3 linked regions of the Drosophila melanogaster genome follow. The protein of the gene in region 3 purifies or fractionates together with the protein of the main gene of each other region. This does not show direct contact. Each region holds a gene or a part of one and is shown on either strand. Other genes may lie near its edges.

Evidence for each region.
Region 1: the proteins of CG3687 (region 3) and CG6013 purify together in Drosophila melanogaster (affinity purification with mass spectrometry, with the first as the bait; one large-scale study listed by BioGRID). This does not show direct contact.
Region 2: the proteins of CG3687 (region 3) and Gagr purify together in Drosophila melanogaster (affinity purification with mass spectrometry, with the first as the bait; one large-scale study listed by BioGRID). This does not show direct contact.

What each region holds. Positions count from the first base shown.
Region 1 is NT_033777.3:19,029,679-19,032,970, reverse strand, and holds CG6013 (uncharacterized protein), read right to left. Parts: upstream 1,469-3,292; 5' UTR 1,401-1,468; coding exon 946-1,400; intron 883-945; coding exon 696-882; 3' UTR 562-695; downstream 1-561. Other genes in the region: Prp18, read left to right, coding at 1,778-2,800; P5cr (pyrroline 5-carboyxlate reductase), read right to left, coding at 2,899-2,962, 3,024-3,292.
Region 2 is NT_037436.4:16,392,776-16,397,441, reverse strand, and holds Gagr (Gag-related), read right to left. Parts: upstream 2,857-4,666; 5' UTR 2,493-2,856; coding exon 1,434-2,492; 3' UTR 562-1,433; downstream 1-561. Other genes in the region: CG44836 (uncharacterized protein), read left to right, coding at 1-499.
Region 3 is NT_033778.4:16,235,026-16,238,011, reverse strand, and holds CG3687 (uncharacterized protein), read right to left. Parts: upstream 1,298-2,986; 5' UTR 1,157-1,297; coding exon 981-1,156; intron 924-980; coding exon 668-923; 3' UTR 533-667; downstream 1-532.

The sequences.
Region 1 (3,292 bases), on a different chromosome or scaffold from region 3:
AAAAAACGCCACCAAACTTCCAAGCAGCAAGTAGTGAAAGCGGAAGCACTTATTATTCTCCGTATTTTGCACCACTAAAAAAAAAGTGATGGACAAAACGCTGGAACGACAACAGCAATCAAAGCAATACATATAATTACTTCATTCAGAAACGCAACCGGAATCGGATTCAGGGCCACAAAGTTTTTCAGCCGGTGGCAAATAAAAATTCGGCATTCAATAAGCGGAGAAAAGCTGTCCGTTATCACTTTCGGATCTGAGTTATCCAATCCTATGTTTATTCGCCCGATTTTCTATAATTTTATTGACTCTTGCATAATTAAATATTTCTTTTGTAAGAGCGAAATTATTACAACCAAATTGTGTACAATATAGAAAAATATGTGTTGAATTTGTATCCAGTTCTTATAATAAGTACCTATATAGCAAGATTTTATTCTAATATGAATATGTTAATCTTATTATTGTTTTTTGTCTTTCGTATCCTTTTGCATGGGATGCTTTATGAAGGATAATAGCTAACCACTTTTGCAATTAACACAAATTCAACTCACTGGGCTTAAATAAATAAATAAATTTATTCCGTCCACTTTTTTTTTTATATACTACATTCTGCGTACAGTTCAAAGGTGCTACAGAACGTTTTGATTATTTCTTTGCTGCTAGGCAGCAAACAGTCTTGGTCCTTGGATCACTTAGCGCGCCTGGTTGAATGGGTTGTCTGGTGACTTGTTCCATTCCTTCATCAGAAGCTGCTTCCACTGGGACATGCGAAGGGAAGGATTCTCAGCCTTAATGCGGGGCAGATTGTTGGCTTCAAAGGTCTTGTAGGCGGCGCGCATTCGCTTCTCGGGATGCTTGTCCTCTTCGCTGTCATTTACACTAAAATTGCATGCAATGGAAGATAATTTAAATTGATAAGAAAGTTTCAGTAAGGGAACGCACCTGAGCACCACGATGGCCTCGTCAATGTTGGATGCCACATCCGTGTCGGCCATGGATCGGTTCAGATTCTCCTCGATATGGTTTTGGACCACCACTCGCGCGGCCATCGGCTTGTTGGCCTCGTTTATCGCCTCGATTACGCGCTGCTTCTTCTCCATCTCCTCGAGAATCATCTGGCGGTTGATCTTGGCCAGCGGCTGCTTTCGCTGCGTGTTAATGGATGACATTTCCTGGTCAAGCAGCGCTTTGGCCTCAGCCTTCCGTTTGGCCGCCTCCGCCCGCTTGCGCTCCTCCTCGTCCTTGCGCTGTTGTTTCTTGGCCAGATTCTTGTCGTCATCGCGCCACAGGCGATCCTCCGCCTCCTTGCTCTTCTTCTCCTGCGTGGCCTTCTTGGTGGCCTCCTTGCGCTCGCGGGCCTCCACCGCCTTCGAGTTGATTCCCATTTTCTTTGGCATTGTGTCCTTTATGAATGAATTCCGATCCTAAAATGTTGTCTATTTTTTATTGATTTTGAGCCAGTGTGACCAGGCTGCGGAAATACCAAAGAGTAACCAAAGAAAAAATACTAGAAAAATATATAGCTCAAATACAATTTAAATGTCTAATAAATGCATTTAAATTAAATAAATTAGGAAGTACATATTTATCTAATTATTGATTAAAGTTATAGAACTAATTATAAGTTATTTCATAACTAAAACTTAGTAAATTCAATAGAATACCTATTTTAGTGGCCGCACTTGTATGTAAACATTCTCAGTCTGGTCTCACTATAATCTAAGGCATTTGTTTTGGTTACTCCACATTGTTATTAACTACAAATAACAATCACATGGATATTCTGAAAGCTGAAATAGCGCGAAAGCGCAAGCTGCTGGAGCAAAGGCAGCTGGTGGACGAAAAGAAGAAGTACTTCAGACGCGGTGACCTGAACGCCAAGAACACAGAGGAAGTGCTGCAGAAGGTGGGCTACATAAAGCAGGAGTCCGTCGAGGCACAAGGACAAACGACCGAAGGCGCGTACAGTTTTGTGGCCGATGGCCAGAACATATTGCCGCGCACGGAGGTCATTCGGAGGCTAAGGGAACGCGGCGAACCCATCCTTATATTTGGCGAGACGGAGCCCGAGGCCTTTGACCGATTGCGACAATGCGAGATTTCGCAGCCAGAGGCAAATCGCGGTTTCCGCAACGATTTCCAGGAGGCCATGGAGCAGGTGGACGCCGCCTACCTGCAGGAGATGTTCGCCAACACACCCACCACCAAGGAAGACAAGAAGTCGGACTTCGCTGAGCTCGACGAGTCCGTGTCGTGGGAGAGCATACAGACAATGGCTGCAAATATGGGCCGCAACAAGGACTACGACATGGATGTGATCATCACGCTGCTCACCTTCCTGCTCAAGCTGTGGAACGACCAGATCGCCAACTACAGCAAGCACGAAAAGATGTCCACAAAGGTGAAAATGACCCGCGTCATTTACACGCAGACTAAGGAATACGTTAAGCCGCTGTTTCGCAAGTTAAAGCATCACACCCTGCCAGAGGACATTCTGGACAGTCTGCGAGACATCTGCAAGCACCTGCTCAACCGCAACTATATCACAGCAAGCGATGCCTACCTAGAAATGGCCATCGGAAACGCGCCTTGGCCCATTGGTGTCACTATGGTGGGTATCCACGCTCGTACGGGTCGCGAAAAGATTTTCTCCAAAAACGTAGCCCACGTAATGAACGATGAAACACAACGGAAGTACATCCAGGGTCTCAAACGACTGATGACCAAGTGCCAAGAGTACTTTCCCACCGATCCCTCCAAGTGCGTGGAGTACGTCAGCAAGAAGGATCGGGAATAAACTTGAGCTTTATGTTAGTCATTATTGTAATAACAATATCAAGCGTTTAACTATATGTATGTGTAGAGAGCAAGGGGATGTTCCGGGGGATTACATTTTCACTTCTTTCCCAGTTCAGCAGAGCGCTGTGACGACTTTTCCACGGCGTTTATTAAAGTAGACCTGAAAGCACGAAAGAAAGCAATAAAAAAACAGTGTAATGTACAACTTTATGGCTACCCACCTGAGGTTCCCCTTTTCCAGTTCATGAACGCCTACTATGGTGGCGCCACCGGGAGAACAGACTTCATCCCGCAGCACCGCCGGATGTTTTCCAGTGAGCAGCACCGTTTTGGCCGCTCCCAGAAGCGTCTGAGCCGCAAACTGAAGAGCCATCTGACGCGGAACGCCCTGTTTGACGCCGCCATCGGCCAGTGCCTCTATGATGGTGTAAACAAATGCCGGACCGCATCCAGCTACCCCGGTAACGGCGTCGATCATGGACTCGGGCAC
Region 2 (4,666 bases), on a different chromosome or scaffold from region 3:
CAAGGAGCAGAAGCGTCTCGAGGCGATAGCTGAAGCGGAGGCAGCCAACATTCCGGCAGCTGCAATGAGCAAGGATTCGCCCAGGAAGAAGGATAAACCCTCGGCGCAGCCGGAACCTCCAGCACCTGGACCTCCGGGCTGTACAGCTACTCCACTGCCGCGTGTGGAAAGCATTGATCTGATTGTAACACCCGATATCGATGAGTTCGTGCAGGATACCGTGCCGGATATATGCATAAATCAGGATAATTGCATCAAACAGCAGGTTACGGGCAGTTACTTGGCCTTGGTGCGCCGCAAAACCCTGACACATTTGAATGAAAAGTACCTGATTCGCCGGGCGGAGCAGAGAGGACTCTTTGGTAAGCCCGAAAAGGATGTCAAGGAGCGGTCGAGACCGAAGACTGTGAAGCTGCAGGAGCAGCAATCGGAGCCAGCGCCCCAGGACATGGGCTATGATCCGAGGGGTTCCGCCCACACTTCAAGTGCCCAGCAAATTGTGAGTAAACAAACTATGCCAAATTCGATACCTCTGACCGACCAAAACAGAGATACACTAGGGCTGTTAGACTTTACACTTTATTGTTAACAAAAAAAAAAACAGAATTTGAAGGTGGGCGATTGTTGTTAAAAAATAGGCGATTGGCGGTAGATACATATATAGGGGGTAATGTGACTGGGGACTGAGGTGTGGGGCTATGTACACTCGGGTCTTATGAGCTAATAATTAACATGTCGATACTGTCTGCGGATTGATCATCATCGATGGACACGCGATCGATGTCATCATTACCGAAGATCGAACATCATGCATTCAATTATCTCGATCGGCTTAATTATCTTGTATTTCGACAAGATCATTGCTATCAGCTCGAATTAGTGATTCTATACTTTTAGTTATTTTAATTTTTACTTGATAGTACATAGCTATGCACACACTTTCTATTATTGCAATGCCCTTACTTTCTATTTGCATTATCTTCATCTGTATTCATTCACATGGTTTTGTTTTTTTTTTTTTATTTGCATGTGCAATCTAGTACGCTTAATCCATGGAGGTATTTAAATTGCCGCATTGTTAGTTATAACATTAACATTTGTATTATTTGTTTTATTTGAACATTCACATCATTATCGTCTTAGTTGTACTGATAGGGATTGGTTATGATTATCGCGAAACAGGGATCAGATCACCTCCATCTCGTTGCACCCAGTATGGCTCTCTCATCACAATTTAATCTATATTCACATCCTATAATCTTCGGCCACCTCATCGCCATTAGAGGGTGAGGTATCGGGGTAATTAGCATGAGGTGGCAATCACTTTGCCCTGGCTTAGTCACAGGCTCCAAGGGATTAGGTCATGCTCGATACGCTTATCTCACTGGACCGCCGATCGATTGGAGGGTGAGATCGTCTAGCCATGTCAACTACTACTTCTTCCAAGCACTAGCCGACGAGGTCTTCGAGTAGTTCTGACTCTTCTGCTGCTGGTAGTTCTGCTTGATGTCCGACTTCTTGGTACTCGAGTAATTCGATCCCATGCCCGAATTGCTGCTGGTGCCATTGTAGCTGAAGCTGGACTTAAAGGTGGGGTTGCCAATGCTCTTGAACATCGGATGATTCTTGCCGGCGCCCACCGGCGGAGCCGACTGATTGTAGTAGCTCTTCGTGCTATTCTGCTGTCCCTTGTCGTTGGACATTTGACGAACGTAGGAGGAGAGTCCCAACCCCACAGCGCCCATGCCCATTCCGACGCCCACGCCAACGGTGCTCACGCCCACTCCGCCCATTCCCACGCCGTAGGACTGCTGCTTGTGGCTGGTGCTGAAGGTGGCCGCCTGATGGTCACTGGCCAGAGATCCGCTCTGTGTGTAGAACTGCTGCTGCACCTCCACTATGTAGCGATAGGCCTCCTCCATGCTCTTGGGATTCCGGCGCAGGATCATCGAGTGCGTCGGCTCGGGCAGATGATCTCGGAACACCTGCAGCGTGATGCGCTCTATGTCCTCGAGACTGTACAGGGTGTCATTGTGCGTGAGCTTTCTATTGATCAGTCTGTGCTTGAGTTTGGCCATCTTCTGGTAGTACAACTCTATGTTCGAGTCCAAGACAGCGCTGCGTATCTTGTGTATCAGCGAGTAGCTAGACTCCCGCTCCGCATAGTTGTACAGCAGTTGATCCTTGAGTTTTAGCCAGGACTCGGCCTTCAGGAGATGACCATTCCCGCCGCCATTGCCATTGCCATTGCCCACGGGAGCGCTCATTTGTCGCGTGAAGACCGCCTCCCTGGCGCGATCTGTGCACTTATTTTTGATATGTCCTATCAATTGAAACTTGTAGTAGTCGTCGAAACTATTTATGGCCGGCATAAGGGCCTCGATTTTGTGCAGGAACTGCGGCAGCTTGCCAGGATCACTGCCATCGAAGTTCTCCACTAGCTTCAGACGGCTAAGGACCTGATTGTATTTGTTCACGAACTCGGGATCCATTCTGGACTAATCTCCCGTAGGACTACTATTACTAGTTCCAAAGAGGGTGGCCTTCTATATCTTTACCGTTAACCGATCGTTGCGTTCGCGGCGACGTTTCGGGCGCGACTGCTTCAAAATTCGAAATCGCCGCCAAGCAGCGACTGCCGCGTCAATAATTGTTGTGTATGGAAAAACAGATTTTAGATTCTTACAAATGTATAAATTAACATTCATTAACATGAATTTTACTTGCAAGACCCTCTCCGCGATCCAATCCGACAATGGCAACGGATTCGCAATCGACACGAACCGTGGTCGCTCCAACCGAGCTGAGCACAACTGAACTGAATGAGCGGATCCGAACCCGAACCGAAATCAACTGGCAGAATAAAACAGAACGGAACACAGCGCCCGCCATTCATTGTGGTGGGAGTTGTGGTACCCGTTGTGTGTGGAGTGCAACGGGTATACTAGACCATCCAGGTGGTATGGTTCGCACAATGGGTAGTCACAGTGATATCAATCGAGGATTCTGGGAAAATAAGTAGGACATACGCATGCTTCCCTACTCCCTACTTCACTCTATGGGTCTTACATACAAGATATCTCCTTAATATTACTTTCTTCTTAGAAGTATGGGAGTTCTTATAGAGTTTCCTTGTTGCCTTCAAAAGGGAACGATATTTTTTGTAGCATACATTTGGGTGAACAATGCCGGAAGTCCTGATAATCGTATGGTAGTGAAGAACTCGATTTTTCTTTTCAGCTAAATTCCGCTTTAAGCTTACATTTAAAGTGAATCAAAACTAATGTGATTATATGTAGAAATTTATAAAGAGAAAAATCGCGACCTAAAGCGACCTAGTTGAACTGCTAAATAGTAACTTTAATAGATGACATAAAATAGATAGTGAATTTAATAGATTCAATGGGTATCTCATAGACGTGACACCAACTTCCCCCAAACGCTATTTGCTTACTGTTGTTGCGACGCTGAGTCATAGCCACAAAATCCCAGCACGGCGACACCCTGCGACCGATCGCGATAGATATATGTATGTATAGCCGGGCAGATAGAGATGGCGATAGTGCCAGCCGAACGGACACGGGCCACAAAAAGGCCGTAGCACGCACATAGTCGTTACTCGTACCCCTAATACAACATCAAACACAGCAGCGAATTTCATTAAAGAGCGCACACAAATCGCTTAAACGAAGCGTTAGATTCGCTTTTTGTTTGCCTCGTCGCTGCTCGCCGTGTTAATTGTCGGGGTTCAAATGGCTAACAAAAAATAAATAAATAAATAAATAAATAAGCAAATGGGGAAAGTCTACGCTAGGACAACATAATTTCAAACTGACAGACTGTGCGGCGCACACAAATATTACGCATACGCACCGATTGACAGCGAGAGATGTGATTTTTGCCATTATTCACATGCAAATTGTGGCACACAGCAAAATTGCATTCCAAGGTCCTTTCATAATTTTTTAGATTTTTTCGAAGAATCTAATTGTTGCTCGCTGCTTGCTGCACCCTGCACTCGATTGCTCATCGCCTGATCTGCACTCAATCGACCCCAGCAGCATCTAATTCAGCTCGATTGCCTCCAATCTTGACACGTGCACTGAGAGAAAATGAGTGTAATTAATAGGTTTCACTTGATATTCTAGCTTTATGTTTAATTTTCAACATTTGGAATGATAAAGAATGATAATTGTTATGAGATTCTAAGTTTTATTTTTGATAACATAGTGCTTAGCGATTTCTTCACTTTAGTACTAATACATAATTTTTACGTCTATGTAACCATTTTAAGGTCAAAAACTTCAACTTTCACAAATAAAAATTGTTTTTTTTTCATTTTTATTTAAAATTCAAACAATATTATTAATTATTAAAGTAAACTTTCTGCTATTGACGTTAACGGTACAAGATTAGAAAGTGATTTGAATAGAAGTGCAATGTAGTGGATCATTTCTCGCAGTGCACCGCTGCTCATACCAGCGCACACCTTTATTAGTGGCAGCCCACTCCTAACCCTCCACCACCATCACCCCCCCTCTCTTCCCCTCGAGGGGTCGCTTTTAAGGTCTGCTGCGCCGGCGTGCGCGGTTCGGCTAATTAGCAACAATTTCTGAGCGTTAGCGGCTTGTAAAACTGTTTAATAATAGCAAAAACTTGTCGGCGT
Region 3 (2,986 bases):
TCGAAACTAAAACAATAAAAATAATTGCCTTTAATGTGCAAAAGCAAAAAATCAAGGGACACCGTTTTGGACGTGGAAGCGCGGATCTGTCTGTCGGGTGGGGTGCTAATAGATTATGCCGCAACGATTAGAGAGGCAATAAATACCACCTGGCCGGGATCCCATGCGTGTTTGGTTCGCGGGCACATATTCGGACTGCGATGACGACAGGTCCTCCTTGTGTCCTCCGCTGTCCTGGTGTTGACAATCTAAACGGTTCGGCCAAAAGGGTAATGGGCCTGGCCAAGGGTCACATTGGGGCACAGTTCGTCGGGGATGTACTCCAGATCACAAACAGGGATAGTTGGCCTATTCACAATGGTAATACTTAAATCAGTTTCGGAAGCATTTCCCCTATAAACACCTGCGACATTCCAACCCCTGAGAATAATTAGCCTGGTTAAGTGTCAAAAGGATGGCAGACCCCGCGACATGTGTTCCCAACATAATGATGATTATGACCACCCGTACTCAACTAACTACCCCGAAACTTGGATTTGTAGGAATTTTACTAGACGATTACAATTTGGAAGAAGTGTGGAGAGTGTGTGTGGCGCGTTACTCTGCTGATCTGCAAGGAAATGAACTCAATAAACGAAATGGTTAACACAACAAAAAGTGAAATCATTTAGTAGTTGGCTCCGCGCTGGATGCAGGGTCCGCTGGAGATGGATCCCGCCTCCAGGCTCGGACAGTTGACCTTCTGCAGCTCGGCAATGCGCTGCCATGTCATGTTGAAGTGGCGCGCGGAACGGGCATTGGAGAGTTTGGCAATGGGTCCCAGGGTGCGGTATCCATTGGTAATGAAGCGTATGAATCCCTTGGCCGTTAGGTCCAGCAGAGCGGTCTTCACCTGCGACTCCAGATCGCCACAGGCAAAGGGTCTATTTAGATGATTAGCATTACCATTACCATTAAGTATATTACTCGATCTGTCTTACTCCTTTTCCAGCATCTCCAGAATGTGCTCCTCGTGGATACCATTGCTGTACTTGGGATGATCCTGGAAGATGCGCACCATGTCCAAAATATATAGCGGCAAATTGATGTGGTAGCTGTTGAAAGGAAGCCGCAAGGTGGTGGGCTCACATTCCCTGATCGATCCTTCGTCACACATTTCGTTGCTTATAAAAATACGATTTCCTTGTTCGATGAATACTTGTTAGATGAATACTATTCCGAGAGACAGGCTAAGCGAAGCCTATGCTTTGACTGTAGGATGGGGGCAGGGCCCACTTGGTCATGCCCCAGACCCCCGGGTGCTAATGTCATCCAATTAAAGGTGTCATTAACGGTTTGTCCACCGCGAAGTCCACGAGGTTTGCTCTTCAATTACTGACCAAACAAACAACGAAGCAATAACGTGTTCTACTGTCTAGATTACCCGGTAATTTGTCTAACGCATTAATAGCCTATGTCCAAAACGATCCTCCCAATGCATTAGCAATGGGTCCCCGGGGTGGGTAAAAAAAAATCGAACTCAGTCCGTAGAGTAGAAGTTTGGTGGTTTGGTAATGCCAACCAATTCAAACCGATTCCAAAACGTACTGCTTTCTATATGTGTGCATTTCGAATCCATCTCGCTCGACCCTTTGATGGATATTAGACTGCCTCCAATTCTCCAGACATGTCACTCCGGCACGCAATCCATTATTTCCGGGTTCGGCTCTCAGTTGGGCCAAAACACCATAAACGAAACATCGGTGGCATGACAGTCAAAGGGTTAACTATGTATGGCCCAAACTTTTGCCAACAGATAATAAATTAGCGCATACATTATGAAACGCCATAAGGATGCGACTTCCGGTTGCCGGAGACGGCAAGGACTCCGTGACCCAAACTGCCAATTTACCACCCCGGCAAACAAACAGGTGACACTTTCTCAAACCGAAACGAAACGGAACGGGTTAAAGACGACACACGGAGTTCATTTACATGTCGATGGTTGTTGGATATGCATACGGTGGTCTTGGATGTCGTGAGTGGCATTGTCGGAAGGCAAGTAAAATTTTACGATTTTGAAGAATCATGCTTGATCAAAATAAAGTTGGTAACAACTTTTTGATGTCTTAATAATAGCGGATTAGGCATATTGCAACTTTCTGACGCTGCAGTTTTTGGAGCTCAGCTAAAAAGGAGCAGAAGCTATTCCTCTTAGGACTATTGAAATCGATTGGTACACGCTGGAAAAATCCTTTAAGTCTCAAAAAACCTCGGAAATAAAAAGTTCACATAGAGCAATTGAAGATATATTATGCCTAGAATATCTGATAAAATGATTTGGAGTGATAGGAATCTACAAGAACTATCAGTTTAAGGATCAAAAAAAGTATATCTATTGTATAATGGTTCAAATAAGATGGCTTCATTTTAATGTAATGACTAAAAATTGCATATTCATGATTTACATTTTACATTACCCCATGTTTTGCTATATAGTAAGATATCCTAAAGGATAACTTTCAGTGAGTGCAAGTAGGCTTCCACCACGCCTCTTTCAGACTATTACCGCTGTTATCGCTGTTATATTCGTCCACAAAATGCCGGTCGATAGCCAAGGGTCACTCTCATTGGTCAGCGCATGGACAATGGGTAAGCCTTACTATCTCCGCCCCAACACATAACAGTTGGTCAACTCCAAGGGCCAAGAAGTGATCGGCGAGCGGGGAGAGGTGGACTGGACTGGGCTGGGGGCATGTAATCTGGCTAACCAGTTATATGAAGTCCTTGTAACCGGGCAGCACAAATAAATGCCATGCGGCCCCGGCCAAGTGTCATGTATTTGACGAATAATTACCGTCAACATTGCGTGATTGGTTGAATCAGCCGGCGATGGAGGGTTGTGGCTGGCTTAGAATTAGCCCCAAAGCGGGTGTATGTGTGTGTGTGTGTGTGTACGTGGGGGAGTTTGTGTGACAAGAACCTATAATTACCACGGCAGGCAGGT